7 linked regions of the Nothobranchius furzeri genome follow. The protein of the gene in region 2 purifies or fractionates together with the protein of the main gene of each other region. This does not show direct contact. Links are inferred from orthologs where the notes say so. Each region holds a gene or a part of one and is shown on either strand. Other genes may lie near its edges.

Region 1 (3,615 bases), on a different chromosome or scaffold from region 2:
GTGACTGGCTTGGTGACAGCTGATTGGATGGCGAGAGTGCTGGTCAGGTTCTGGGCAGGGAGTGGCTGAAGTGTGGCCCCGCCCACTTGCACTGGGATGAAAGTGAATCCTCCATTCTCATTGGGTATCCCTACAAAGAGGTCAGAGGTCAGCACATAGTTACAGGTCACCTGTTGTAGTTAACTCATTGTTTTGAGTCCCTTACCTTGCACAGGTATAGTCAGTGTCTGCCCGTTGTTGGCCGTGACGGTGGCGGTCGCCACTACAGTCTGCCCCGCCGGAATGGTGGCAATGAGGCTCGGCTTTGTGACGCTGCTCGGTGGTGTTCTTGTGGCGCTGGTCTCACCCTCCGTCGGGTCAACAAACAGACGGCGACGAAATCCACCTGTGGGGGGGGAGCCATACCGGTCCTGCAGGGTGGTGGGGGAGGGGGACACGCCTTCAGAAGACGGAGGGGCAAATTATTTCTACACAGAAACACAAAAGAGTAAGACAAGATGGCTGACAAATCACCTGTGATGGTGCTGTTGGTGCTGAGGTCTGGTCCCTGTGAGGCTGGAGTGAGGGCAATGCCAGCCCCACCGCTGTCTTCATTCTGTTCCAGGTACTGAGGAGGCATCACCTGAAACGCAGACGCACACACACGTGCACACACACACACACACACACACACACACACACACACACACACACACACACACACACACACACTGATTGACCCACAGAACTTTCAGAACCACTGAATTTTATTTGTGAGCAGCCTAAAGCCTCCTCATATCTCTGAGACTTTGGTAAACAAAAGGTTCTGAATGTTTCCAACATCATCTGTTCAGTAAGAAGATGACATCATCTCTACAGGTGAAGTAGAACCAGGTGCTGTTTGTGTTCTCATGGACCTCCTGGCAGGTCGGGACTTGGGCTGACTGGAGACTGTGCCACAGCGGGGAGTTGCTGGTCCAAGCCAGGCTCTCCAGAACCTGCTCCTCCACCTGGTTCAGGTGCTTCACGACCTCCCGAAACAGACCCTGTTCCGACCGGACCAGCACCTCAATCACCTGCACACACACACACACACACACACACACACACACACACACACACACACACACACACACACACACACACACACACACACACACACACACACACACACACACACACACACACACACACAGTAAACGTGAGTTTTTATGAGTATTAGTTCGTTCATCAGATGATGAAATAGTTGTTATTATTATTATTATTATTATTATTACAGTTGTTATTACAATTATTGTTGTTTATATTATTGTTGTCTTGAGCAGTGTCTGGCAGATGCTGCTGACTAGTGCCGATAGCTGAGATGAAGCTCAGCATGCTGCTTCCTGATTGGCTAATCTGGACTCAGTCTGAGAACGGGTCGGGCCAGCTGGTACCTTATAGAAGTGGTAAGCAGGAAGCTGGAAGGTGTGGATGACTCTGGGGAAGTCTCCTGGAGGTCTGTAGGAGAAGGTAACGATCTCCAGGCAGCAGGCCAGCAGGGAGCGGTGGAACACGTCCTGCTCCAGAATACACTGCAGAACCAACAGGGGGTATGGTTCAGTGCAGTCACAGCTGGTAACCATCACACACAGAACCTCCCCGGTCCAGACCAGACGCCCTGGGTCAGGAGTCCAGACCTTGAGACCAGAACTGTACTCACAGACAGGTCAGCGTCTCCCAGGATCATCTTTTCTCTCTCAACGATGGACTCCAGGATCCTGTAGTACAGCGCCTCGCTCAGGTGGAAGAACTTGACGGCCATGTCTGCTGGACAACACATGGTCAGGTGGGACAGCAGATCAGCTGATCACTGGGCTCAGGTCCTCACCTTTTTCCATCCCCTTGCTGTCATCAGTGCTGTCCTCATGATGCTGTGTGAAGATGTCTAACATGTCCTTCAGGCGCTGACTGATGACATCACTGGGGTCTCTGGAACAGCCCCTGGAACCGAAACAGCCGCACTCCAGACTTCCAGTCAATGTAAATTGTTAAAGGTCAGAGGTCAGGCTTAGTCTATCAGAACTGGACCTCACCAGAACCTTAAACCGGCTTCACCAAACCAAACCTGGAAAAGCAGCAAGTTCACCCTAAGGTCAAAGGTCAACACTCAGTTTCAGGGAGGCTAAAGGTCACAGCAGCTCAGATTGGTAGCATTTTACCTGAACAAACCACGGAGACACCAAGGTGGATGTGTTTACCCACAATGCACTGCAGCAGAGACAGCTGTTCCCAGCTGTCAGCACGGTCAGTGGTGGAGCTGACCTCTGACCTTTAGGCTTTACAGAATGGATGCCTAACCTCTGCACCACTGTAACACCTGTGCACATCCTCAGAAAAAGTCCCACAAGATAAAACGTGGCTTACTCATCAGGCACACTCCCTCACCGGTGCCGAGCTGGCCGTAATCCACAAGAATCCACAAGTTAGAACCTAAACGGACCTGATATCTGACCGAACTGTGCTCTAAGTCTAGACTCTGGACCTCTCTCCCCCTGAGCCTGAGATCAGTGGACTCAATGGTCTCCTTTAAAAAGCAGCTGAAGACTCACTTGTTCAAGCTGGCTTTTGTATGACCTTCTTCACCACTCTCTCTTTATTCTGCTCTCCCCACCTATTCCACCTTCCTCAGGATCCACTGATTTCCCTCTTTCCTATTCACTCTCTCTCTTTCTTAACATTTTTTTTAATTACAATTGCCTATTTTTGCTCATTTTAATATATTTTTAAACATTTTCTAAATGCTTTTTTATATTTTTACATATTTTGTTTTTGTGAAGCGCCTCGTGATTTTTATCTTGAGAGGCGCTATAGAAATATTTTCTTCTTCTTCTTCTTCTTCTTCTTCTTCTAAGTGCAGCCCTGAGACTAAAACCTGAAGCTAACAGGTTAGCTAAAGGCTGATTCAGCACGCCCATGACTGGTTGGACGGACGGATTTCCCCGCATGCCGCGCTCTTTCTGACATGTTTAAAATGTAACTAACTTATCGGCTGTATCTGACACTGTCAACCACGGCTTCCTTTGGTCCGCACTCTCTAGCATGGGCATCGCAGGGAAAGCACACTCCTGGCTTGAATCGTACCTGAAAGGACGATCTTTCAGTGCATCTTGGCTCGGACAATTTCTGCTGTTCACCATCTTGCCACAGGAGTCCCCCAGGGCTCTGTACTAGGACCTCTTCTCTTTGCCATATACACCACCTCACTAGGTGAGATCATTCAATCACATGGCTTCTCCTACCACTGCTATGCTGATGACACCCAGCTCTACCGGCCATTCCCGCTGGACGACCACAGAGTCTCTGAACGAATCTCAGACTCTGACATATCAAGATGGGTGAAATCCCACCATCTCCAACTCAACCTCTCTTACACTGAATTACTTGTCATGCCAGCGAAACCATCCATACGGCACAATATCTCCAAAGTGATTCCCTTTAGACATGGTGGGGTGGGAGTAATGAGGTTAGCGGATCAGAACCTGACACCTGAGGGTTCTCTTAGTCCGGTCAGAACCCATACCTGAGGATCTGTGTCAACTTGGAGCTTGGCCCATATCTGGTTCCTGACAGCAGAGTGTGAAGGCGCCCAACACT
Region 2 (4,385 bases):
GTTACAGATACAAAAGACGTCACTGGCGCTTTAGCTCACCTAGTAAGACGTCTGACTCTCGTGCAGAAGATCTGGGTTTGATTCTGGATGTGAACATAGTATAATTAGAGTTTACTTTTTACATTAATGGTATATTTTTTACAGTAAGATGCCCAAATTTTTATTTGAGACTCGCCGAACGGCATTTGAAGTCACAGAAAACCAAAAACGTTTCATTTTGGAACAATTTTTCAAGCAAGGGAAGGGAATGATCTGAGCATGCAGGAGGACTGACCCATCTTAAACCTTTGTCGGCTGTGCTGAAGAGAAAGGTACAGAACCAAATTATTTAATTAATTAGCTGCGCGTTCTCCTGTCCTCTGTCCTCCGGGCTACACACACACACACACACACACACACACACACACACACACACGGGACTGTCTCAGCTGTTACTTTCGTTAAGGAGTGTGCACGTACAGCATGCGCGCCTCGTGCACGAGCCTACTATTAAAGCTGCTGTTACGTTTTTGGCCTGAGGGGGCAATCATGAGCATAAAAATTCACAAGTCCGTAAAGTCCCTTTAAGGCTCGTCGTCGCTGTACTTTACTTTCATTCTAAAGAAAAGCACAGTTCCTTAAATTTGAAAAATCCACTATACTAAAACTCAAAAGTGCGTTTGTGGGTGCATACCTCTGGGAGGAGCAGGCGTAGAAGGCGGAGCTTGACCCGTGGGAGGTTGGGTGGTGCTGATGTACTGATGGTCACTATCCAGGTCCAACTTCCTCTTTACCTGAAGATGGAAGCATGGAATACGTTATATTTGTGTGTTACCTAAAGATGCACGGAGTCAGAACGACATCCTGTGGTCAAATCTGGGTACTGCAGTCCGTGAATCAAAACAAACGAGTCTGTTCTGAGCCACTGTTGCCAGTTACGGCACGGCACCAGAAGATTCTAGATGATGAGCAAAGACGAGTCATACGCGGTAATTTGACGAGTAGATAAATATATTTTGCTGTAGTATCGAAGTTTGCTTGTAATCCACCGTTAGCATTGTTAGCTCAATGTTAGCCTCTGCATTAAGAACACAACAAAAAGAGGCCGTGGCTTCTTCGGGGTTACATGAAATAACGTCGCTCTTTTTACTGACTTCCATTTTGTTCCACAACGCCGCAGCATCATGCCGGCCGATGTCAAATTACAAATGTCGGTGCAGACTTGGCAAACCTGCGGGCACGTATGATTGGCTCTGGAACCAGGAAGTACTGAATTGGGACAGATTGTAAACAAAGACTACCTTCCTCTTTGGTTTTTAAGTTAAACTAGGAAACCTGACGACCCCATAGCCGGCTGAGAAGGAAATCTGTTTTTAACGTAACCGTTCTTCCAATACCACTCAGATGTTAGACTGTTATGGGATTATTTCACAGTAAAATTATTGTTGCACCTTGAAGAAAATGCTTAAAAAGCAAAATATGACATGAAACTTCTCATTTAACCTCATCTCACTCCCACTCTCCTCACCGGAGGTCTTCCCAGAGCTGGCCGCCTCTTGTCCTGGGCCCCCACGTCAGCGGGCCCCTGTGGCGTGGCGAACAGCAGGATTTCCCCCGTGCTGGTCGGGGCTGCAACAGGGTGGAGTCCCTCATTGCTGGGGCTGGTGATGATGACTACCTGATGGTCCTCGCCCAGTTTTATACTCCCAGAGTTCAGCAAGGTCTCAAAGTCAACCAACAGATCCTCCGATGTCTGCCCTGTTATCAGAGTCTCTGACATTGCACTGGGTCACCAAGTGCTCCTTCACTAGTCTTTGGGTGTGCTGGGAGGGGTCACAGGCTAAGATGGTGTACTCTAAAAGCACATCAGCACCTGCTGACATTTGTAGTTCTCTGTAAATTCGTGGAGCAGGAGTAAAAAATGCTCAAACGTCCCAAATTGGAACAAGTTGTTTTCCTCACAGACAAACATTTATTACAGTTTAACTCAAAGAGTGATAAATAAACAGAACTTGCCAAATCAACTTCAGACCGAACGGAGAAACTGGATGTTCTGCCAAACAGGAAAATGACAGATCATTGCTAAATTGCACAATATCTCTACGCCATGAGGGTCTAACGCGGGATTAGCACCTAAAACAGGGTCGCGAGACCCTGCCGCGGGTCTGAATAAACGCTAAACATAAGGACGCCAGCGACGGAGCGAGCAAATCTTTTGTTTTCGTGCCTCCTGTCAGCAGAGTTCGGCCGCGGCCTGAACACACAGCTACCGACACGGCTAGCAGGCTAACTCATGGCTCAACAACAAAGCCTCGGAATAGTTCTCGAAGGAGGCGCGGAACGAGCCGTTCCCAGCCGTAAAACTACCACAATCACCAAACATCCGAAACTGGGACAACGGTTAAGCTACGGAAACTTTAAATCAGCTTTTCAAAGTTAGCTAACAAAGCAAAATACAGAGAAGTCGAACGGCATCGCCGTGACTCAAAAGCATCATTGATTGGGTATTTATGAAAACGTCTGGCTAACAAAGACCTTATAACAGTTACTATGTTGAGTGTGGAAATGTAGGGCAGATTAGCATGTTAGCTTTAGTCATTAGCCGCAGTTCTTCAGTCCCCTCGTTTTGTTGGGGCACTGCAGGAAGCAGTCAGACAAAACTGGAATTAAAAAAACGAAACAAAACGGTCAAAGTACAAACGCATGCTTTAAAACCGCCGCCGATGCACTTTCAGCTGCTCACCAGGGCTGCGGTTCTCTCATGAAAGTGTCCACCCGAGCCCGATATCAGCCGTTATTGTTGTTATTGTCCCAGCTGATCTACATCTAAACAAGCGTTGGTCGGTTTTCGCGCGAAATCCATTTTGCCGCGAAAGTTGCACGTGGGGAAATCTGACGCTCGCCATTGGCCAAAAAGATGCACATTCTTCGAAGAGAAACCGGAGCTTTCTGATTGGTGTAAATGAGTGTCCGTCATGTAGACGAGCACAGACTAGTCGATATGAAGATGCGTTCAGGTTCCACGGAAGAACCTCAACTAACTAGCGTTTACAATCATTTCGCTTAGATCAAAATCAACATATCAATGATACATTGATCTGATGTCACATATTAAACATTTAATAACATATATTAGTTATTGAAAAGCCGTGACCGAACTTACAAATTAAAGTCCTTACGTGACTTGTATTTTATTTTGCATGCTATTTAAAACATTTGATGTTTTAGCTATTTTGTTTTAAGACTGTCAGGAATGTCCACATCATATTATAAACAGTTTATGCAGCTCTCTATTGAACAGTATATTTTTTCAAACACGAATTATTCGTAAAAATCTCGTCGAATTTACAGAATAGAAATGTCCTTTAGGTAGCAGCCCTTGCTAATCGAGCGCCTATCTCTCAGAAATCTGCAAGATGGCGCAGGCAATATTCGAGGTGCTTGAAGGTAGCAATATTTTTGTTAACTACATAGCTACCAACATGTTTACATGTCAGAAAATATTTTTTATAGATAAACATGTTTAGAGCCATTTTAAAATGTGGAAATAATTGTGAAACTATGCATAGGTGTTTACTAATGTTACAAAAATCAAACCACCCTGCTAGGTTGGTATGTACATGTAAACAATAACGGTGATTAATTACACTACGTATGTTTAATAGGTAGTTGATTATTATTGTGCTACTAGATTATCAAGCAGAGCTTTTAAATGTAAACACGTGCATTGTTTCCTCCCCCCTCTGTTGTTTCACTCTCTCTAGGCATGGACAACCAGACTGTGTTGGCTGTTCAGTCTCTGCTTGATGGCCAGTCTGGAGTTCCTGACCCAAATAATCAAAATGTGTCAACCACGCCCACTATTCAGTCTATGGGTAAGCAGTAGGACGCACTAGCATATAAGTTAGGCTGTCATTGCTTTCTTTTATAATTTATTTAGGGCAAGGTGCATTTGGCTGTTGGTTAAAATAAAAATAATGACAACAACCACTTTAATAATAATAATAATAATAATAATAATAATACAATTCGAGGTTCCTTTTTAATAAAAGAAAAAGGGGAAATAGCAAAGGTAAAAAAAACGTAATAAAAGCAGGGACAAAAATGCAGCTGGACACAAAATGGATTTTTTAAAAGATGAGCTTTTAAAAATGATTGAAGAGTAGAAACGGGTCGATGATGCCCATTTCATGAGGAAGAAAATCAGAGGGGAGCATGGAAAGGTAGAACTGGATGTCGTCTTTGTAGCAGAGGAAATCGATATTAAAGCAACACGTTCCTGCTTCTGCTTCCTACTGGCTGAAATGGTAAATGGCCTGTATTTGATATAGCACCTTCTAGAGTCCTGGAACCCCCCAAGGTGCTTTACAACACAATCAGTCATTCACCCATTCACACACACATTC
Region 3 (3,615 bases), on a different chromosome or scaffold from region 2:
AAAAGTCATGAACAGAATCTGTGACAAAGCCTTGGCAGAGTCCAACTCTCACCGGAAACGAGCTCGACTTAATGCCGGCAATGCAGTCCAAGCTCTGACACCGGTCATACAGGGACCTAACAGCCCGTATCAGAGGTCCTGGTACCCCATACTCCCAGAGTACCCCCCACAGGGCCCCCAGAGGGACGCGGTCGAACAGCTTCTCCAAATCCACAAAACACATGTAGACTGGTTGGGCAAATTCCCACGCACCCTCCAGGACCCCCCTAAGGGTATAGAGCTGGTCCAGTGTTCCACGGCCAGGATGAAAATCTTTTTCTAACTGATATGTGACATATTTGTCCCCCGTTCAGGACCTGGTTGGGAAATACTCCCAACAGTTGGTGAAGGGCATGCTGCAGCTGCTGTCCAACTGTCCATCTGAGACCGCTCACCTTCGCAAGGAGCTGCTGATCGCGGCCAAGCACATCCTCACGACTGACCTCCGCAGCCGTATGTATTCAAACACATGCCTAATTATTTGCTATTATTGGTTATAACTTGAACGTCTTGGGTTTTTGCTCTTTTATCTATTCGATTATTTGTTAGACTGTTGGAAAAGTAAAAGCTCTACCGTTCCTGAAATCCTGCAGTCTTCACTTTGGTTTATCAGTTATGGTGCTTTAGTTCCTCAAAACCATTTTCAGTGATAGTCTTTGTTAATAAGCCACTCGGCTCTTTCGTGATAACAGAAGAAACTATCCATCCACAGGGGTGGACATTAACTTCAAAGCCAACCGGCCAGCCGGGCCGGTTGGCTTTGAATATTTACCGGCCCTGCCAAGAATCTACCGGCCCCGCTGGTCAGCCGCCAAAACGAGTCAAAATAACAACTGAACCGTTTTAAATGTAACAAACCTTTAATTTGTACACATTCACAAACATAATAACGTATTCAAGTTTGAATTTGTTTGTTCCCTCAACAAAACACGATTTTGTCGTCGCATACTTCTGGCATACAACGCAGTACATCACCAACGCCGCTTTGCTGTATTCAAGCCATTGACTGTGTTCGAGAAGAGCCAGTTCTGCGCAGAGTAGACCAGCAGTGATCGGCGAGCGGTGCATGCCGGTTAGATTTGTGTCCGAATTGACCTGACTTGCTCTGACGTCATGCATACGTAGGCATCGATAACCTCGTGAGATCAAGGCGGCTGCAGATTTTGGAGCAAGGCGCTGCAGTTGCTCTCTACCGGCTGCAAAACCTAGAGGATGATGGGAAACGCCTGGCTCTCACCTGATCTAAGATCTGATTGGTTCACATTTTGATCCAAACATCCGGTGGTAGAACATGAAATGTTAGTTGGTCACATGTATTCTGTAAATCATGTTATGTTGATGATGACAACTATATAGGCCATAAGGAGAAATGTGTTTTGTGTTCTTTTGTCACGTTTCCTATGAGCACACTGAACAGCTGATAACCTTTACTTATTATTACAGTCATGTTTTCATATAGAATATATGATATCCACAAGCGCGTGAGGATGTGTTTCTGCTGCTAACAGGCACCAGAATTAAAATTGAAAATTGAACAAGTGTGAATGCTAACGCGATATCTTCATCCATCGTCACCCCCGAGCTACACATGTAGGGAAGTCCAAGAGATTCAACTGGCAGAAACAACTGGTTCACACCACACACTCTCACTCACTCACTCACACACACACTCACTCACTCACTCACTCACTCACTCACACACACACACACACACACACACACACACACACACACACACACACACACACAGAGGAAAAGAGCTGAGGAAATGGAGGACACCAAGTAATTAAAAGAAAAACTACAGCTGAGCCGAGGCGCGCCTCGAATGGGGCGCGTCTGATCTGAACTGAGGAGCGGCGAGCAGCGGCCGGACTTCGTGAGCGATTCGCTTCGGGCGCTTCCGCGGCCGGTGTGTCCCCGGCGTTAAACGCCGGCTTTCAGCCACTCCCCCTGCTGCTTCCGTCTGCTCTCGTCTGTTTTCCAGGCGAGCCGCTACTCAACTCAAATACGGCCATTCTCCGCGCCTCCCGTCTTCTTTAAACCTCCAAGAATCATTCCACCTACGCACACGCTTCGCTGCTTCATACCGTTTCGAACTGTCTCGCTTCTCCTCACCAGTTTTAAAGCGTTTTGCCGGAGATTTCATCAAGAAATCCCATCCCTGTGGTGGCGCGATCTTCCTGCGTGCTTGTGTGTTTCTAGCGTGGTTCCACTTCGTCTTTAATAGTGAACTTATAGTTCACGTGACAATAACTAGAATCGTGCAGGACGTGCACGAATCGTACAAGTGCAGTACGTGGCTAGAGGCGCGCAGGTTCACGGGCGCGAAACGAAAACGGCAGCTTCCTACAGGGCGGGGCCATGACGTAGGTGAAAGCCGGTGTGTAAATGACAAATAAAGCTTGGGCGCCACCCGGGCGGTAAGTCGTCAAGTATTTACCGCCCGACGAGAAAATTTAGCGCCATTGGCGCTCGGGCGCTTTAAAGGTCCACCCCTGATCCACAAACTGGTGTGTGAATTTATTCTTTCTGCAGGATAGCACAGAGAGCCACAGTCACTCAGAATCCCATTCAACTGCATTTTTGTAGATATTTTCTCAACTGAGAGGTGTGTGTGTGTGTGTGTGTGGGGGGGGGGGGGGGGTGTTGAACTGCTGTTAAATAAAAATAACAACTTTAAAGTTGTGATTGACTGTTAAAACATTTTTAGTGATCGTTTCTGATTATAATCGGCCACTCTGAGCTTTTCTTGCAGGCAGAATATGGAAATAGTCTCCTACACCTGTCTCCTGCATTAGCTTCTGATAGAAAACAGACGGTGAAACTCTAGGATTTGATAAGCCTGACGGATCCAGTGTTTCCCCTAGAAAATGTTCCAGCCATGGCGCGTGGGGGGGATGGGGATGAGGGTTGTTGTGTGCGAACCGTTTAGCCTCCATGCGTCATTCCTACTAGAGATGATCTCAAAAGTATTGATTAAATGAGTCAACTACTCCTTTAAGGCGGCAGCTCATCAGGCTGCTAAAACTACATGAAACCTTTCAGGTGGGGTTACAGTGGGCTGGTACTCACGTAGGGCATGCAATGTCTTTGTTTGCATTTTGTACAAGTGTTTATGGCAGTTTCACATTTATTGTACTTTTTTACTCGGGGAAACCAAGAAGGCTTTGAGGCGGGTTCCATTCTGGGAGAGAACCGATTAATTCTAAAAGGTTATTTTTGTAGTAACCCTGTTCTAAGTACCACCAACACCAGAGTGAGAACCTGACTCTCATGAGAGGAAACCAAGTTTCAGCCCAGGGAGATGCTAGCTGTAGAAACAAACCAACGTCAAAGCACATCAGTGTTTATTTTTCTGTCATCCGCTACACATCATTTCTGACATCTCTTGGGTTTTCCAGAGTTCATCCCTTGTATGGACAAACTTTTTGATGAATCCATTCTCATCGGCTCTGGTTACACGGCCCGGGAGACTCTCAGGTACGCTCACATCAAACTTTTGCTCATCCAACTTAAAATTCCTGCTGCTATCCTTGGCTTTGCATGGCTGATTTCTCAAGCAGGTGCTGAAGGTGT
Region 4 (4,048 bases), on a different chromosome or scaffold from region 2:
AAATCACCAGGAATACCAGTTATAGGACTGACGGACAGAAAGGTGAAATCCTGCACATTAGCTTTTGCACGAGTCAAAAGATGACACAAATAATGCACTCACAAGTGTTCAGCATAAATAGGCTAATAAAGCTTCAGATACTCTTAACACAAAATGGAATTTTTTTTAAATTTACTTAGCAAAAAAAAAAAAATGCTTTTATCATGTTTTCAGGGACCCGCTTTACCTTGTTGTAGTTCTTTGCCAGCTCCAGCATCTCCTTAACAATTGTCTCGTTGAGCTTGCAGTGCTCGCTGTAGTCCTGCAGAGTCAGGCCCTCCATCCAGCTCTTCTTATGCAAGTTCAACAGCATCTGAGTTATTAGGAAGATCAGGAACAGTTTAAAAAAACTTGAAAAAAAAAAAAAGGAAATCTCTGGTGATGTAGGATTCCGACCTTTTGCTCCAGCTCATTTTTTCTGTAATTGATGGTGATAGAGTAGTAGTGTCTGTTAAGTCCATGAATCAGTGCCTAAACATCAGGAGAATCCAATAGATCAGTGCATAAAAATGAGGGAAAATTGCGATGTTGTCACGGTTATCTCTAGTTATGGATCTTGAGCAACAAAATGGTTGAATGAAGTCACCTGGATTGATGGCTTGTTCAGATGACCCAGGTTGGATGTGGTTTGCCGTGGTTCATGACCCAATACCATCATGTTGGCATTGATCAATCTGAACGCATCAATAACGACCTGAGCAGAAAATAAAAAGACTTCATCACTCAACGTACATAACATAATCTGAGCTGTACAGATGATAGCGAGTCTCCTGCAGCAGACCTTTCCTTTGACGCTCTGAATCGGATCAACCACCACGGCCACAGCTCGCTCCGACAGCGCCTCAAAGCTCTGCTGAGTGTTGATGTCCACGCCTGACAACCAGCAGCCAAACCCAGGGTGACTGTGGTACCAACCCACAACCATCTCTGGTCTAAAATAAAACAAAAAAAACAAGTGTGCTTAAGGGAAACAACAGTTTAACAAGCCTTGTTTGCTGTTAAATGGTTCTGGATTTCCTTAAAGAAGTTAATGTCTTAGGAAGGACCTGTGATTTTTTAAATTGTTGGTCTGTTAAAAAACAAATAGAAAAAGCAGGAAGATCGGTCTTTAAAAGGCCTGAAAATTGTTCCACATCACCTGCCAGTCTGCTTCAGCATGTCCAACATCTTGGCCTGGAATACAGGATCCACTGCCTCCACGCTTACGCCCTGTGAAAGTTATTTTAACATGAAGAGAAGCAAAACGTAGCTAAAAAGCCAAGTGCGAAGGAGTTGTGCCCCAACTTTTAACAATTAAAATACCAAAATATGTGACCAAGAAGACGGCAAACTGTTTTTTATAGTATTTATTCAGAACACATACAATGTGAGACAGGGGAGAATACATACCGTTCCTGATTGAGGCATGGCAAACACATCGATCACTCGCACTGTGTAGTCATCGACAAACTCTCCAAGCATCAATCCCATGACTTCCATTGGTACACCTGCACGTCCGTGCTTCAACATCTATTAAAAAGAAAACAAAATGACAGTTTAGGGAAATGATAATATTTCAGATGTATCACAGTTCAGGTGTTGATGATGCATGAATACCTTTAGCAATGCCAGAGAGGAGATGTACACCTGTTCTGCTGTGTCCACAGCTGGTGCATCTGTAGGGGGTCCCTGAAAAATCAAATAAGATGTTAAGTTCTCGGGCTTCTTAGCTCCATACAGTTTTGTTTGATAATAGATTACAAGATGCTGTGATTGCCCTAACCTTTGTGTGAGAGAGTGGACAAAATTGTGCCTTTAACTTAGAACAAATTAAGTCAATAAACTTATAGTCTAAACATTGAGTTATTGCTATGATCAAAGACTACATCAGTGACAGTGTAGTGTTAATAAGTAGATTTTTAATTAGCTCACAATTCACCAAAGATTTTAGTGTTTTTTAATCAAACAAAATAAACAATTACCTGGCCAAGTCCCGGCATTCCACCTCCAAGTCTCAGGAGCCGATCCATGTCGAGATCTACAAACCAAAGCACACAGAGAAATCCTGACCAATAAAATCCAGGAGCTAAATAGAGAACCATACATCTGCTCTGATTTAGATCTTCATGCTGGGACCTCAAAAACTATATGAACACATAAGCGCCAAATGCAGAATCAAAAATAAACAAATACTTCCGGTTAGAAATTTTAGGATTTCAATTACTTCTATTGATTATATTTCACAGGTAATATATTTTCTCTTTAAAAAAACAGATTAGAAATAGTTAGAATGCAGTTTCTAAAAAAACTCATTCCGATTTAAATTAAGTTTGTAGTTATATGTTGAACTCATGTCTGAATTGATCAATTGCGTGTTCATAGAGGCAGTTTAGCTGTTTCACAATTAAGGCTAATTTAGTTTCAACTAGGCTATGGCTCACAAAATAGCTCATTTGTCACGGAACTTAAAGACATCATATTGAGCACCAGATCGCTTAAAAATCGGGAATTCTCCGTTCAGTTACAATACTTTTTACTAGTTTATCCTCAAAATAAAAATGTAGTTTCAATGTTCAAATAAACATCGATAGAACAGCGCAACAACGTTACCGCTAGCACGGACATGCTAACTATTTAGCCTGTCCCGTTTGAAACAAATAACTAAAAACGTAATTACGGACTCTGGATCCATCTAATCACATTTAAAGACAGCTTCTCGCTTTCTCAGACATGTGTGTCTACGTACCTTCTGTTCAATGTTACGTGTGTTCAGAGTAGTATGCTTTATGCGTGCAATGACATAGAACGAGCAGGCTACAATGAATCAGCCAGAATCTGCTTTCTGTTTTTTTTCTCAGAACTACTTCCGTCGCACACTAAATGACGTAATTTATTTCTGCTTTTTTTACACTAACCGTTAGATGGCGGTGTGTTCATCATTTAGTCTGCCCATAATGGGCATTTTTGATAGCCTAGTGAACTCGACCAAATTCTTGCCTTACTATTTAAATATTATATTTATTTAGTCTTGCTAGCCAGGCTATATTTGTAAAGAAAATTAATGGTTTTGACTGATTTTACAAGCGCACCAACGCGTAAAACAATATTATATGTGAGCATTGCTTAATTTAATGTTTATTTAAAGATAACATGAAGCCTGTTGATTTTTTTGTTTACAATTAACAAAGAAAATAGAGAAAATTCCTTGAAATTTGAAAAAATTTAATTGCTGTTTGTTTGTTTGTTTGTTTGTTTGTTTGTTTGTTTGTTCACTGGTAAAATGTATTCAACATTTTGGAAATACAACAAACAGCACAATCCAAACTAAAGCAAAATGCACCATTTAACATTTTCCTGTGGAGCCACAAACTCCAGTGAAGCCATATCACCTCTGGACTTTCACAAGAACTCCTCCGTGTATCTTTATCTTGACTGCTTGGGGAGTGGAGCATCAGCCACCCGCCCAGATGTGGCCCTGCTGCGGTGCCGAGCTTGTAGCTGGCATCCTGAGGTCAACAAGGAGAATTCTGAATTCCTTGAGTTTTTGGTGGATGTGTAAGCAGCACATAATCATCCACATTCCTTTGTCCCTTCCTTTTCAAGCGTGCAGGACACCCCCCACCCCCCTTCGCTCACACCTGAATAAACTCTAAGACAATCAGCTTTCTTAACCAGGATGTCCTTCCCTATAATTACTTGAGCTTTATTATGTGACTTTAAAAATCCAAATTTAATTTAATACAAAAGTAATTAGATCAGGATATCTTAATAGAATGTTAAGATGTAAAGAGAAAGTGAAGTAAAGTAATAAAACCCTTGACAGAGTCCCCCTTGAATAAACATACGTAAGTAATAAAAGAGCACCTCTGTTAACCTGTTGGTTATCTGATAGTGCATGAAGATACTCCAAACACATCATTGATTTCTAAAATGCTGCTTATTTAAAGTGACATGTCTGTTGCCAGCAGAGTTCATTCATTGGATTTATCAGTCTGCTTTAACACAGTTAACAGCATCTGCGGCTGATTGC
Region 5 (3,615 bases), on a different chromosome or scaffold from region 2:
ACCCCCTTATTTTGCTGGTAGGCAAATTGAAGTGGGTCAAGTCTCCCCTCTGTCAGAGATAAAATTTCAGATTTTAGAATTTTTTCAAAAGTTTTCATCACAAGTGATGTGAGTGCTACTGGTCTAAAGTCAGACAGTTCCTTTGAAGTACTTGATTTAGGGATTGGGATTATAGTCGAAGTTTTCCACAAAGATGGAATCTGACCCACATCCACACATGTTTGAAACAATCTGCTAAAAACACCACTCAACTGGTTGGCACAGTGATGCAGGGTACGCCCACAGATGGCGTCGGGGCCCCTTGCTTTCCCCACCTTTACCTTTTTAAGTAAGATGGTGACCTGGTCTAGTGAAATTACAAATCCCTCACTAGGTTTGAGGGCTTCCTTGCAGACCCCAACCTTTCCAATAAGGTCCCCCCTCTCAAACCGACTAAAAAATGAATTAAAAACATCTGGCAGGACAGAGTCAGGCACTCCTTTTACATTGATAAGTTTCTTATCCTCTTTTTGGTGATTACAAGAAGCCATACATTTTATACCCTTCCAGGCTGCCTTAAGGTCACCACCGCTATACATATCTTCTATTTTGTCCTTGTATTTTAGTTTAGCTTTCCTGATCTCATCTCGTACTTCTCTAGATATTGCTTTTTTCTCAAGGTGGTTGCCACCAGAGGAATAAACCACTTTCTTTTTGTTGATGATTGATTTAAGCTCTTTGTTTACCCATGGCCTATTATTTGGATAAATAACAACAGTCTTTGAGTGAACCAAAGAGTCCACACAGAAAGTAATATAAGATGAGACTGTGTCGCACAACTCGTTAATATCCCCAGATGAGTTAAAGAAGCAGTCCCAATCAGTACACTCAAAACACGCTTGGAGTGCTGAAATGTTATCTTCTGACCAGCACTTCACTGATTTCACCTCCCGTGGTAGCCTCTTGAACACAGGAATATAGCGGGGTATAAGATGCTTTAGGTGGCTATTGCATTTCTTTTTATGAAAACACACTTCCAGTGGAATCTGCTGATTTCAGGTTCTTGTCGATGCTGGAGGAGGAAATCTACGGTGAGAATTCGCCCATTTGGGAGGCAGATTTCACCATTCCTGCTTCGGACGGCTCTCAGATGGGACCTCAGACAGGTGAGGCAGGTGTGCAGCGGCTGGTGGAGACATGGAGTTTGGTGTTTGTTGAGAACTGGTACTTTAGCATCAGGTCTGTCTGGCCTTGAAATGCCTCACAAAAGATGCCATCACTGCTGTTGTCGTGGTTACAAGTGGCCTGCAATTGATGATGTTTGTGATTGCAGTGATGAGTCCAGCGTCGGTCTCTGGGTCTGCTGCTTTGTCCAAATGTCTGAGCAGCAGCTCGTCTCTAGGCAGCGTGGACACAGGAGGCGTCGAGTCCATCATAGGTCAGCTCGCCAACATCTTCACTCTGAATCACACTCGACCTTCGGGTGTCTCAGTCACTCAGGTGTCAGTTCAGAGGATTGTGTATCACATACATCCAGTCTGACCTAATTACATGGAGAACCTCAAAGGGCCATTTTGGTAAATGTTTCTGCTTAAACGTTAAACTTGCTGTAATTAGCCTCCCTCACTTTCGAATTACACACTTTTTACAATCATGAGTGTCACTAGGAGCTGCAAAATGGAGAACTCCTGTTGCATCCATGGGTCAAAACCTTTCTGCAGAACTGATGCAGTGTGAAACTGAGTGTTATAAAGTCACTCTTTTCATGTAAATATGGAACTTCTGCTGGATTGATCCTATTATTTTGATGAGAGAATTATTTCCCTCTCTCCAGGGGAAAAGCGCAAACTTCCAGAGGCGTTGACTCTAGAAGATGCCAAGCGGATCCGTGTGATGGGAGACATTCCCATGGAGCTGGTTAATGAAGTCATGATGACAATCACAGATCCTGCTGCTATGCTCGGACCAGAGGTCAGCCTTCACCGCCAGTCAGGAGGGCAATGATGTTTTGAGCTGCAACTGAAGCCTGGAAGTTCGGATGTTGTCTCTCTGCAGTCTGATGGCACACCGTCAGTCCTGCAGCAGAGAGAGACACAGTGGGGGGACAGGACAAAATCAGCATTTTGATATATCGGCTATATCGATATGTTTGCATATATTTACAGTTGTTATTAGGGCCGGGACTTTAATGTGTTAATTATGATTAATTAATTAGAAAAAAATGACGCATTAAAAAAATTAACGCTTTTAATCGCAGCTTGCATTTCGAGAAAGGCGGAACCTTTGTTATTGCACGATTTTCTCGTAGACCGAATATCACTGATGCACACAACAATGCACAGTGCTAATGGCTACTAAAACGGAATAAAAACAGAAAGAAGTTGCCTTGCTTGGACTGATGCAGGATTTAGGAAACCCGTCCGCCTCTTTTCTTAACTGAAAAAAAAACAAACTTCCGGACAACAACGGAGTCCGTGTCGCGGACATTTTTCAGAGATCGATAGAATAATTCTTTGCCCTAACAGTAGTTTATAAAAGTAGTCAGACAAACGAGAGGCACCTGGCTGCCGCTGGGAGAACGCTCCGTGTTCTCACTACTCTGTAAACAATCACAACGTGTCTTAAAGTTGAAAACAGAAGTTTAAGTTAAAACAGAAACGCTCTAAAAATGTGATTAATTTAGATTAATTAATTACAAAGCCTCTAATTAATTAGATTAAAATTTTTAAACGAGTCACAGCCCTAGTTTTTATACATTGGCATTGGCCGATACTTGTTGTTAGTGAAGCCGATTTAAAGTCAGGCACATCCTGGGGCAGCCTGGTGCTGAATTTAATTTAAATGTAGTTTTACGTTCATTACCATCTGCGTAACCCCGGCTTTCCACCGGAGCCGTCAGCAGCACGTTACTGCAGCAGCACGTCATAGCTGCTGATAGGAACCGCTGTGGTCAACAGAACCTTTTCCACTGGAGCCGTCAGCAGCGTGAGTCGGCCGCGTCTCAGGAGCAGCATGTCGCGGCCTTTACGCGCCAGTTCTATTTTCTACGCGCGACGCCTCTGAAACGGGTCAGGTTCAACATTTTTGGGGAAGGAAAGACAGGAAATCGGACGCGGAAATGGAGAGAAGCTCCAGAGATTTTCAGAATAAAGAACGTACTGCCTTCCGGTTGCTTTACTTTAAAAAAAAAGTTACTAACTGTGAGGCCCCGTGAGAAGTTATCACCTAGCTAGCGGTCTCCTTTGTTTTTCAGGTCCGTATTGGCGATTATAAAACGAACAGAACATAAAACACAAACATTTTGGAGCCATATTGTAGTTTTCTCCTGCTTGTTGTTGTGTTTACTGACGAAGTCACTCGTGTGACTTCGTGCTCTGTCGGTGACGGCTGCTCCCCTGCTGCTTCGCGTCTCGTGGGAAGGGCCAAGCAGCAGTTTACGCGAGCAAGACGTGCTGCTGCAGTAACATGCTGCTGACGGCTCCTGTGGAAACCCGACGTAATAAGCGCTCTACATTAACTATTTAGGTGTCTGACTTTAACACTGAGCTGTGCAGAGTTTAAACACTGATTCAGCTCTAGGAATTTTGTGCATCTACTGATGTTATAAGTGACAATTTAGCATGAAAATAAGGTGGA
Region 6 (4,350 bases), on a different chromosome or scaffold from region 2:
TGCTGACCGGGTATGAGCAACTGATATTTTACATGTCATAGTTATTTACCAAACACTCTGTGACTAATATGGCTCATTCTCTGAGAAATTGTTTTCAGATTGGAATTGTTTTAAGATCTTTTCTTAATGGTCACACCACGGCTAGCTAACTCTTTTGTTCACATGAGCTAATCTATTCATTTTTTCTCAAAATTTAAACATTTCAAAAAGCAATCCAAAATTATTAATTAATCGATCACCTTTTCACAGAACCCCATTTCAGGAGATTTGAACTGCCCCTTTAATGTGTGTTAAATTAGTGGTCTCTATGGTGACCACTGACAACAGTTTTAACATTTCTTTTCATCTCTATGCTGTACACTTTTTTTGATAGTTTATGCATTAAAAAAGTAGTTATATTGTCTTTGCTTGGGTCACTTAAGTAGCCGTTGGGATTTAGTTATTTTTTTTTAATTATCTAAATTAATAGACACATTTTTCACCACCCCACCCACTGTGTGGCGAATCAACAGGTTGGTTCAATGAACAAATAATAAGTTCTGATTCACTTAATGAACATCATCCGTGTTTATTATTGTCAATGCGTGTCCAATATTTGTTTATAATGCATGATCTTCTCTCTAAATAGATGTTTTGCAAATAGCGAGAGTCAACTGACCACAACTTACCGATGACAGTTCGTCACATCCTAATAACCCGTAATAATCCTCCAAGTCCTCTGGTTTACAACTCAAAAGCGTCTCCATCGGATCCGATCAGATCAGAGAACGTTTGTTTATTTCGATCGGAGCTGTGTGATGCAGTTATCACAGCTGTTCACTTTCTATGGTTTTCGGTGCCCGGACAGTTTGTTTTGCTTTTACTGTTTTTCCTCACCCTGTACTGTTTTTCAAATAAATTGTTCTAAATAAAGTGACTCTGACAAATTTCTAATCTATGAAGATACGAGTCAGTAAAACGTAGCTATCTTTTCCCTCAACATGTGACGCATGCTGCATTAAAGTGTTGTGGTAACAATTCATCTCAGCGCAGTGACTACAGCTACAGAGGCATAAAATACTACTGAAATCTAGCTTAAAAAACTGTGGAAAAAAATAAATTGTGAAGTGAAATAGGGGCAAAATTATTTTCACCCAAACCAATATTTTATGTTGCAAAATGCTACAAAAAAGGGGAATCTTCTCTTTGCCATTATTCTAATACTGTCATTTCCATGCTGACGTCTTGTGCTGTAAGTACCAAAAATATTTATGCAAGTTAGATTATATAGTCATAAAAATACGAGTTATTGAGCATTTTTCCCAAACGTTTTAGGCTTTTATTTTTTGTTATGCGCGTTACTGCAAAGAAACCCAACGACACCTGAAGGCAGCAGTAATTTGTTGTAGTCTTAGGTATTTGCTCTTCCTCATTGGTCGAGAAAGAGTCACGTGTGCTATGTAAATGAGCCAGCTGTCCGAGAGGAAGGCTTTGCGCAGCGGCTCTGGGGTTGAAGATGGCGGATGAAGAGAATAGTCTCGGAACGGCCTTTTCTGGCGCCTTCATAACGGATGAACCTGCGACGAAAATATCAAAAATGGATACGCCGACTAATCATGGGCTTAAACCCACTGAACCGGACCAGCTTTCGCGCGTCTTTGCAGCCACAGAGAGTCGGGAAGCGGCGATAAAACGTTCGCAGCCTTCCGAGAAGGAAGCAAAGCCGGTGATGGAGGTAGAGCAGGCCCCAACAGCGGCGCGGGACGGAGACAACAATGAACGGGGAATTCCGGTCTCCGAGCCACAGAGACCGGCTGGGAAACTGGTCGACAGTGCTGTACTTTGCTCAACCGAAGAAGTCGCAGGTATGAATAACGCTTACCTCTACTAGCTTACAAACGTTGCGGCTGTTTGGTTTACAGCTCACCGGCAAACTTGATGCTTAAGTGACAGCGAAACGGAATAAACCTATCGGTTTGTGTGTTTTCGGTGTAATGCAATTTCCTCTAACCATAAACGCGTCCATAGGTTTTAAAGTCCACATCACTTAAACTGTAAGAAACTTTGAAGCCAACGTAGCGTCATTTAGCCGGTGTAACGACAGAAACGTGTGCACCGTCTTATTGCGCTGGATCGCGATTATTTGCGATACACGGTATCATCAGCATATAATAATATTATAACGGGCGTTACTTTAGTTCTTAATGAAATGCCAAACCTATTATGATTAATGATAAATGACCCGCACTTTTATAGCGCCTTTCAGAGTCGGCGGACTCCAAAGCGCCTTACACTACAGTGTATCATTCATCCACTCACACACCCTTGATGATAAGCTACAATTTAGCCACAGCTGCCCTGGGGTGCACTGACAGAGGTGAGGCCTCTGAATACAGATGTCATCAGTCCCTCCAAGCATCAGCAGGCAAGGTGGGTTAAGTGTCTTGCTCAAAGACACAACAGCAGTCTGCCAGGTTCGAACTTGCAACCTTAGGATTACATGACAACCCGCTCTACCCCCGGAGCTACTGCCAGATTTCTAGGCTATCTTTGTACCACAGCAATAACTCATTTTACTCTTAAGTGGATGCTTACTTTTTATTCATTTGAAATATATTATTTAAAAATTATACGTAATTAATTGGAAAATTACATGTGAACTAAAAGTTGTTGTCATTACATTCTGTTCACAGCAGCCTCACACTTAACTGCATTGAGCATTTTGTTATAATTTGTCTTGTGCCTGGTTTCCACCTTATGCATAAGCAGCGTGTAAGAAGACACAGATAATAAACACCTATAAGCAATGGTTTTTTTTCCACTGGATGTGGAGTGGAGCATCTCAGATGTGTCGTAGGAGTGGTTTGCTGTAAAGTCGCTGACGCTAGTCTGACTCGATGCAATCCGCTGGATTCCCTTATACTGGAAACTTTGAAATTATTGGCATGATTAACTGAACTCGGTTGGAATGTTTACTTGGTGAAGTGCCTTGAGAACAATTCTTGTTGTGATTTGGTGATGTATAAATAAACTGAATTGAATTGGGTATGTTTTTCTAACCCAGCCTTTCCACTGGATGTGTAAGCGGCATGCGACGTGATAGAGGAGTTTTACTTGTGAACTCCCTTCCAACTGGGAGCATTTCAGGCATGAAACGGGAGTGAAAAGGTGAATGCCTCCTCCGGGTCAGGGATGAGGTCCTGCCCCAAGTAGAGGAGTTTGAGTATCTCAGGGTCTTGTTCATGGGTGAGGGAAAGATGGAGGACAAGATTGATGTGTACTGATCTGTCGTGGTGAAGAGAGAGCTGAGCTGGAAGGCAGAGCTCTCGATTTACCGATCATCTACTTTCCTACCCTCACCTATGGCCACGAGCTTTGGGTAGTGACCGAAAGAACAAGATCGTGGATACGAGCGGCCCCCGCACCATGAGAACAAACATCTCGGCTCTAAAGCCGATCTTCATCCGCATACGTCACACGTCACGTGATCAGGAAGCAGAACATCCATGTGTTAGGAGATCGTTTTGGGCCGCTGCTGTAAAAAAAATGAGGCGCGAACGGAAAAAGCTTCTGCCGATCACAATTCAACAACGGATTATGAAAGAACGGATAACGCTCGAAACACGCGGATTCTTCCTGATGTAAGAGCTGAGTCTCCGCTTTGTTTTGGTTGTTTTGGCGTCGACATCATCCTAGCGCGCAACGTTCTGTCACTCTTTAAAAAAACAGTAAAAACGGTGAGAAACGCTGGCAGTGAAGGGCTTTACCGATCTGGAAACGGCTGGCAGTGAATGAGTTAAGCGTCCACCGGAAGGCCCAGGTTAGTTTCTAACTTCTTTCTTTTTATTTGATTTTCTAGGACATGACGATCTGCCCTCCAACGGCCTTGCTGCCTCACCGGAAAACCTCAACGATGAAGACGACAGATCTTCACATGCAAGCTCCAGCGACTGGACTCCTCAACCCCAAATAGGTAACTGGGACGATTTGTCTGGCATTTCCTAAAGAAAAGTGCCTTAAAGACAGATAAAATTCTTGTGGATTTGTTTGAAAATGAAGTTTCTGACTGTTGTTTTGTTTTCTGGCCAGGCTCTTACAGTTTCATCCAACAACACATTAGAGAGACCGATCCGCGAGCCATTCTAAGGGATTTGCTTCCTGAGACTATACTCCCTCCAGATTTAGATGACATGACACTGTGGCAGATCATCATCAACATCTCAGAGCCTCCGAAGAGAAAGAAGCGGAAGGATATAAACACTTTGGAAGATGTGGTCAGGCTGCTTCAGGAAAGCAAAAAGATCCTTGTGCTGACTGGCGCTGGGGTAGGCATTTACAGTTCTACTCGTCTAGGACTGTATTAGAGTAATG
Region 7 (4,097 bases), on a different chromosome or scaffold from region 2:
GTGTGTGTGTGTGTGTGTGTGTGTGTGTGTGTGTGTGTGTGTACACATTTGCACAATGAAACACATGACTTCTTCCTTTCAAACTTTTGATTTTTTTCCTGTCCAAACTTCTGCATCACTGTAGGTCAGCTGAAGAATATACTGTTACACGTTAGCCACACTTAATGTGTTTGTCATGTTCTCTCTAACACACACACACACACACACACACACACACACACACACACACACACACACACACACACACACACACACACACACACACACACACACACACACACACACACACACACACACACACACACACACACACACAGAGAGAGAGAGAGCCTTTAGTCCAAACCTTTTTCTATCGTTCTCATGCCTTGCACTAATAATGCTCATGAATTTATGTTATAATCTCAGTCAGTGTGTTATAAATATATACATAATATAAATATATAAATAATATACTGTAAATACGGTGTTGCAGTGTAGTCTACCTTTTTATTTTTGTTTTCCCAGTGACGGGACTAATGCTTGCTAGGGATAATCAATAGAAGGTTAAAAACCATGTACAGTTAGCAGGAAAACAGCAACAATCTGGGTTTGGAGTTTTCCCCCCAACACACAAATGGTTAAGTCATAATCCGTGGTGGTCTTTATAAATATGTGTAGTAATATTAACAAAAAAAACATTGCATTTATTTAGATGTCTGCCTCATATTATTTTCTCAAAAAGAAATCTGTTACACCCAAACTTCCTGGTTTCATCCTCCTTTTTATTTTTAATGCCTTGTGTCTAAAATGTCCTCCTCCCGGGTTTTAGGAGATATAAACTGATTTAAAAATCTACATATTGGTCTGTTTAAAAATCTGTTAACAGCGTTACAGGAACAACAGAACATCTGTGACTTGGATCACTTTTGGTTTTAAGACTTCTTTGCAGGAAGACATTTAAACTGAAGCATTTTACAGAACTATTATGTAATGACCAAATAAATACTGAAATAAATTTGAGCATTCATCATTGTAATCTGGCAGTCTGTGTGTTTTTGGTATTTTTTCTCTTCTTTAAGGATATTTTGTGATGTAGGAGGATTATGCTGCTGATTTGTTATTTTATGGTGCAATACGTTTACTGTTCCCATGTAAAATTGTTGATAGTTGGTAGTTTTATAGTATAACTTTAAAAAGGTTCCAGTCAACATGATTTTCTCTAGATTTGACCTTGAATTTTGGCTCCAATTGGCTGGATTTTGTGACCTCTCCACTCAGTTGTGGTCCCGTGGGCGCCCCTAGCGGAGGAAAATGGCACCGCTGTGAGAAATTGAAAATAAGGATGAGCGCCATGTCTGATCCTCCGCTTGTGGAATAGCGCGGACGGCGGAGCCATCGTTTCCCGGGCCTGCGCTCGCTGCGGGTTTCGGGGTGAATCATGGCCGACACCGCGGGGATTCAGCAAGGTTCGCCGGCCATTGGAGCCGCGGGCCTGGTTCCGGCGGCTCCTGGAGCCGGGGGCACGGAGGGCTCCGGCGCCGCTGGAGGATCCGCACGTATCGCAGCGAAGAAGGCGCAACTCCACTCGTCACCTCGGCCGAAGAAACTGGAAAAACTCGGAGTGTATTCGTCTTGCAAAGTAGGCGTGATTTGCACGCGGGGAACTGTGAAAATACGCGTTTTGTGTGTTTAATCCAAATTAACGGTTGGTTTTGGTTGCAAGTTTTCATAATGCAGCGCAGCAAAGGAAGCCATTGCCGCACTTCAGTTTTTTTTCCCCCTTTTTAAAAAAAATAATTGCATGAACGGCACAGTTTTCTGAAAAAAATAAACGAAGATGTTTAGGATAACGTGTATTTCTAGCAGCCGAACTCTTCGGCCGGGGCCTTTTTGCTGGACGCTCTCTGGTATTTTTAGTGGTGCTGTTTCTGTCAAGGTGGGTGGTTGGTGAACGTAAACATTGGCTCGGAGCGGCTCGGGAGTCGCTGGCTGTGGGAACAGGAGCCGAGCTCGTGCGCGTGTGTCTCCTACCCTCACCAGAAGGTCCCACAGCCTCCAGACCTTCTGCTGGAGCTCGGCGGTGAGCCTACGGAGGCATTTATGGGGCTTGTGCGGCGTACGATCCGCAGAGGGTCGGTGTCTTTGTTTTGACAGGATGACAGCTGCTGGAGGGGGCGGAGTTTGTTATTGTTTCAGTGCGCATGCGCAGCAGTGACAGGCCCCCCCTACTTTGTTTGTTTTTCTAGGACACAAGGCTCCTTTTGGGTTTGAGCTAGTCCGACTAATTAAGCCAAAAATTGAGGGTGTTTTTTATTGTCTTCAGTTTTAACTTATTTCTACTGATTCAGATGCCCAAATACCTAATTCATCACATTCTAATTGTTTAAAATTCTGATTAACTTTAAAATGATTCGGAAATCAAAACATTTTCACATGTAACATATTATTCAAAGATGATGCGTTCAAAGACCAGGAAAAACGTTGGATTTCAGCTGACCGTGGTGATTATAGCTGTTTTGTTTGTTTATTTTCCACTCTGTTCCGACAGGCCGAAGGACCGTGCAAGTGTAATGGCTGGAAGAGTCAGAACCCCCCTCCTACACCTCCTCAAACGGACCAGCAGACCAACACGGTCAATCTGCAGGAGCCCTGCCGGAGCTGCTCGCACACTTTGGGTTTGTGTGCTTGTCGAACCCAACAATCCCTCTTGGTAAAAGTTATCACTCAGATTTATAATATCTTTATTTTCCCCCAGGTGATCATGTGACTCATCTTGAACATGTTTCTGAGGAGGAAATGAACAGACTTCTAGGAATTGTCCTGGATGTGGAGTATTTGTACACATGTGTCCACAAAGAAGAGGACGCGGACACTAAACAAGTCTACTTTTCCCTCTTTAAAGTAATTTCCAGCTTTATTGTTAATATTTTATCACGTATAACCTCTGCATTGTGATCAAGTAAGCTACTAATTTCCATTTGACCTTTTAGCTGTTGAGGAAGTCCATCCTACAGATGGGGAAGCCCATGTTGGAGGCACAGGAGACTCCTCCGTTTGAAAAGCCCAGCATCGAGCAGGTGAAGTAAGAGTTTGGAAGGAAAAACACATTTTCATTGACGCCGACTGATTTTTCTCTTTATTTCTGCTTGTGTACCTAAAAGGGAGTGAACAATTTTGTCCAGTACAAATTCAGCCATCTGCCATCAAAAGAACGTCAAACCATCATGGAGCTGGCTAAGATGTTTCTGAACCAGATCAACTACTGGCAGCTGGAGACGCCCTCTCAGAGACGCCAGCGGGTGCCCAATGACGATGCAGCAGGATATAAAGCTAACTACACACGGTGGGACTGAGCAGAGTTCCCTTTGACCTGCTTTCCTGGATTCTCTCGTAGTTTTATGTAAACCATTTCTGTGTGTAGATGGTTGTGTTACTGCAACGCGCCTCAGTTCTGCGACAGCCTGCCCCGCTACGAAACCACCCAGATCTTTGGCAGGACGCTATTACGCTCCGTGTTCACCGTGATGAGGAAGCAGCTGCTGGAGCAGGCCAGACAGGAGAAGGACAAGCTCCCCCCAGAGAAACGCACTCTCATTCTCACACACTTTCCCAAGTACGACACACACACACACGTGTTCACACAGAGAAATGACACAAACTCAACATTTTAAAAGCACAGCACTTAAAAAAAATGTGGTTTTCTTTGCTCAGGTTCTTGTCGATGCTGGAGGAGGAGGTCTACAGCCACAGCTCCCCGATCTGGAGCCAAGACTTCCTTGTAGGAGCTGCAGGAGGACAGATTCCCATCCACACAGGTAAAACACACCCTCACACACACACACCTGTACGCAAGTTGGAATTTTTCTTCGCTTTGTAAAAAAAACTTTTGTTTAAAATTCCCCGTGTAGTGATCAGTGCTCCCCCAGTAGTCCGGCCAATACACTACAGCACCAGTCCTGTGTCGGTGGACCCGTCCACCTGTGGTAGCGTCAGTCCTGCCAGGAAACCCGCCTCGGCTCTGGAGTCAAACCCAGGTATTAAAACTGTGATTGCACCGTGATCCGATAAAACTTCATGTCTATTTTATCGTGAGCGATTATAAAAGAGGCGAATGATGA

The links.
Region 1: the proteins of e2f1 (region 2) and rbl2 purify together in Homo sapiens (affinity purification with western blotting; 3 studies listed by BioGRID and IntAct, with this or other methods). This does not show direct contact. The link is inferred for Nothobranchius furzeri from reciprocal best matches to the Homo sapiens genes E2F1 and RBL2.
Region 3: the proteins of e2f1 (region 2) and trrap purify together in Homo sapiens (affinity purification with western blotting; 3 studies listed by BioGRID and IntAct, with this or other methods). This does not show direct contact. The link is inferred for Nothobranchius furzeri from reciprocal best matches to the Homo sapiens genes E2F1 and TRRAP.
Region 4: the proteins of e2f1 (region 2) and psmd14 purify together in Homo sapiens (affinity purification with western blotting; 3 studies listed by BioGRID). This does not show direct contact. The link is inferred for Nothobranchius furzeri from reciprocal best matches to the Homo sapiens genes E2F1 and PSMD14.
Region 5: the proteins of e2f1 (region 2) and kat2a purify together in Homo sapiens (affinity purification with western blotting; 4 studies listed by BioGRID and IntAct, with this or other methods). This does not show direct contact. The link is inferred for Nothobranchius furzeri from reciprocal best matches to the Homo sapiens genes E2F1 and KAT2A.
Region 6: the proteins of e2f1 (region 2) and sirt1 purify together in Homo sapiens (affinity purification with western blotting; 3 studies listed by BioGRID and IntAct, with this or other methods). This does not show direct contact. The link is inferred for Nothobranchius furzeri from reciprocal best matches to the Homo sapiens genes E2F1 and SIRT1.
Region 7: the proteins of e2f1 (region 2) and kat2b purify together in Homo sapiens (affinity purification with western blotting; 5 studies listed by BioGRID and IntAct, with this or other methods). This does not show direct contact. The link is inferred for Nothobranchius furzeri from reciprocal best matches to the Homo sapiens genes E2F1 and KAT2B.

What each region holds. Positions count from the first base shown.
Region 1 is NC_091744.1:80,493,715-80,497,329, reverse strand, and holds part of rbl2 (retinoblastoma-like protein 2), read right to left. Parts: coding exon 3,542-3,615; intron 1,963-3,541; coding exon 1,850-1,962; intron 1,789-1,849; coding exon 1,682-1,788; intron 1,554-1,681; coding exon 1,416-1,553; intron 1,056-1,415; coding exon 897-1,055; intron 623-896; coding exon 514-622; intron 440-513; coding exon 206-439; intron 131-205; coding exon 1-130. UniProt on the Homo sapiens protein: Key regulator of entry into cell division. Directly involved in heterochromatin formation by maintaining overall chromatin structure and, in particular, that of constitutive heterochromatin by stabilizing histone methylation.
Region 2 is NC_091755.1:51,396,258-51,400,642, reverse strand, and holds the start of e2f1 (transcription factor E2F1), read right to left. Parts: upstream 2,838-4,385; 5' UTR 2,723-2,837; intron 2,640-2,722; 5' UTR 1,760-2,639; coding exon 1,508-1,759; intron 774-1,507; coding exon 674-773; intron 1-673. Other genes in the region: znf341 (zinc finger protein 341), read left to right, coding at 3,396-3,426, 3,744-3,854. UniProt on the Homo sapiens protein: Transcription activator that binds DNA cooperatively with DP proteins through the E2 recognition site, 5'-TTTC[CG]CGC-3' found in the promoter region of a number of genes whose products are involved in cell cycle regulation or in DNA replication.
Region 3 is NC_091756.1:29,482,321-29,485,935, forward strand, and holds part of trrap (transformation/transcription domain-associated protein), read left to right. Parts: intron 1-353; coding exon 354-492; intron 493-3,440; coding exon 3,441-3,519; intron 3,520-3,615. UniProt on the Homo sapiens protein: Adapter protein, which is found in various multiprotein chromatin complexes with histone acetyltransferase activity (HAT), which gives a specific tag for epigenetic transcription activation.
Region 4 is NC_091749.1:40,666,049-40,670,096, reverse strand, and holds the start of psmd14 (26S proteasome non-ATPase regulatory subunit 14), read right to left. Parts: upstream 2,897-4,048; 5' UTR 2,765-2,896; intron 2,057-2,764; 5' UTR 2,049-2,056; coding exon 2,001-2,048; intron 1,708-2,000; coding exon 1,636-1,707; intron 1,549-1,635; coding exon 1,429-1,548; intron 1,249-1,428; coding exon 1,178-1,248; intron 972-1,177; coding exon 821-971; intron 734-820; coding exon 626-733; intron 511-625; coding exon 436-510; intron 353-435; coding exon 227-352; intron 1-226.
Region 5 is NC_091745.1:16,609,718-16,613,332, reverse strand, and holds part of kat2a (histone acetyltransferase KAT2A), read left to right. Parts: intron 1-1,038; coding exon 1,039-1,145; intron 1,146-1,312; coding exon 1,313-1,417; intron 1,418-1,813; coding exon 1,814-1,950; intron 1,951-3,615. UniProt on the Homo sapiens protein: Protein lysine acyltransferase that can act as a acetyltransferase, glutaryltransferase, succinyltransferase or malonyltransferase, depending on the context.
Region 6 is NC_091752.1:5,652,085-5,656,434, reverse strand, and holds the start of sirt1 (NAD-dependent protein deacetylase sirtuin-1), read left to right. Parts: upstream 1-1,488; 5' UTR 1,489-1,495; coding exon 1,496-1,844; intron 1,845-3,838; coding exon 3,839-3,952; intron 3,953-4,068; coding exon 4,069-4,304; intron 4,305-4,350. Other genes in the region: dnajc12 (dnaJ homolog subfamily C member 12), read right to left, coding at 669-746. UniProt on the Homo sapiens protein: NAD-dependent protein deacetylase that links transcriptional regulation directly to intracellular energetics and participates in the coordination of several separated cellular functions such as cell cycle, response to DNA damage, metabolism, apoptosis and autophagy.
Region 7 is NC_091759.1:19,556,393-19,560,489, forward strand, and holds the start of kat2b (histone acetyltransferase KAT2B), read left to right. Parts: upstream 1-1,285; 5' UTR 1,286-1,417; coding exon 1,418-1,618; intron 1,619-2,527; coding exon 2,528-2,654; intron 2,655-2,734; coding exon 2,735-2,880; intron 2,881-2,969; coding exon 2,970-3,056; intron 3,057-3,140; coding exon 3,141-3,322; intron 3,323-3,400; coding exon 3,401-3,592; intron 3,593-3,690; coding exon 3,691-3,794; intron 3,795-3,887; coding exon 3,888-4,013; intron 4,014-4,097. UniProt on the Homo sapiens protein: Functions as a histone acetyltransferase (HAT) to promote transcriptional activation. Has significant histone acetyltransferase activity with core histones (H3 and H4), and also with nucleosome core particles.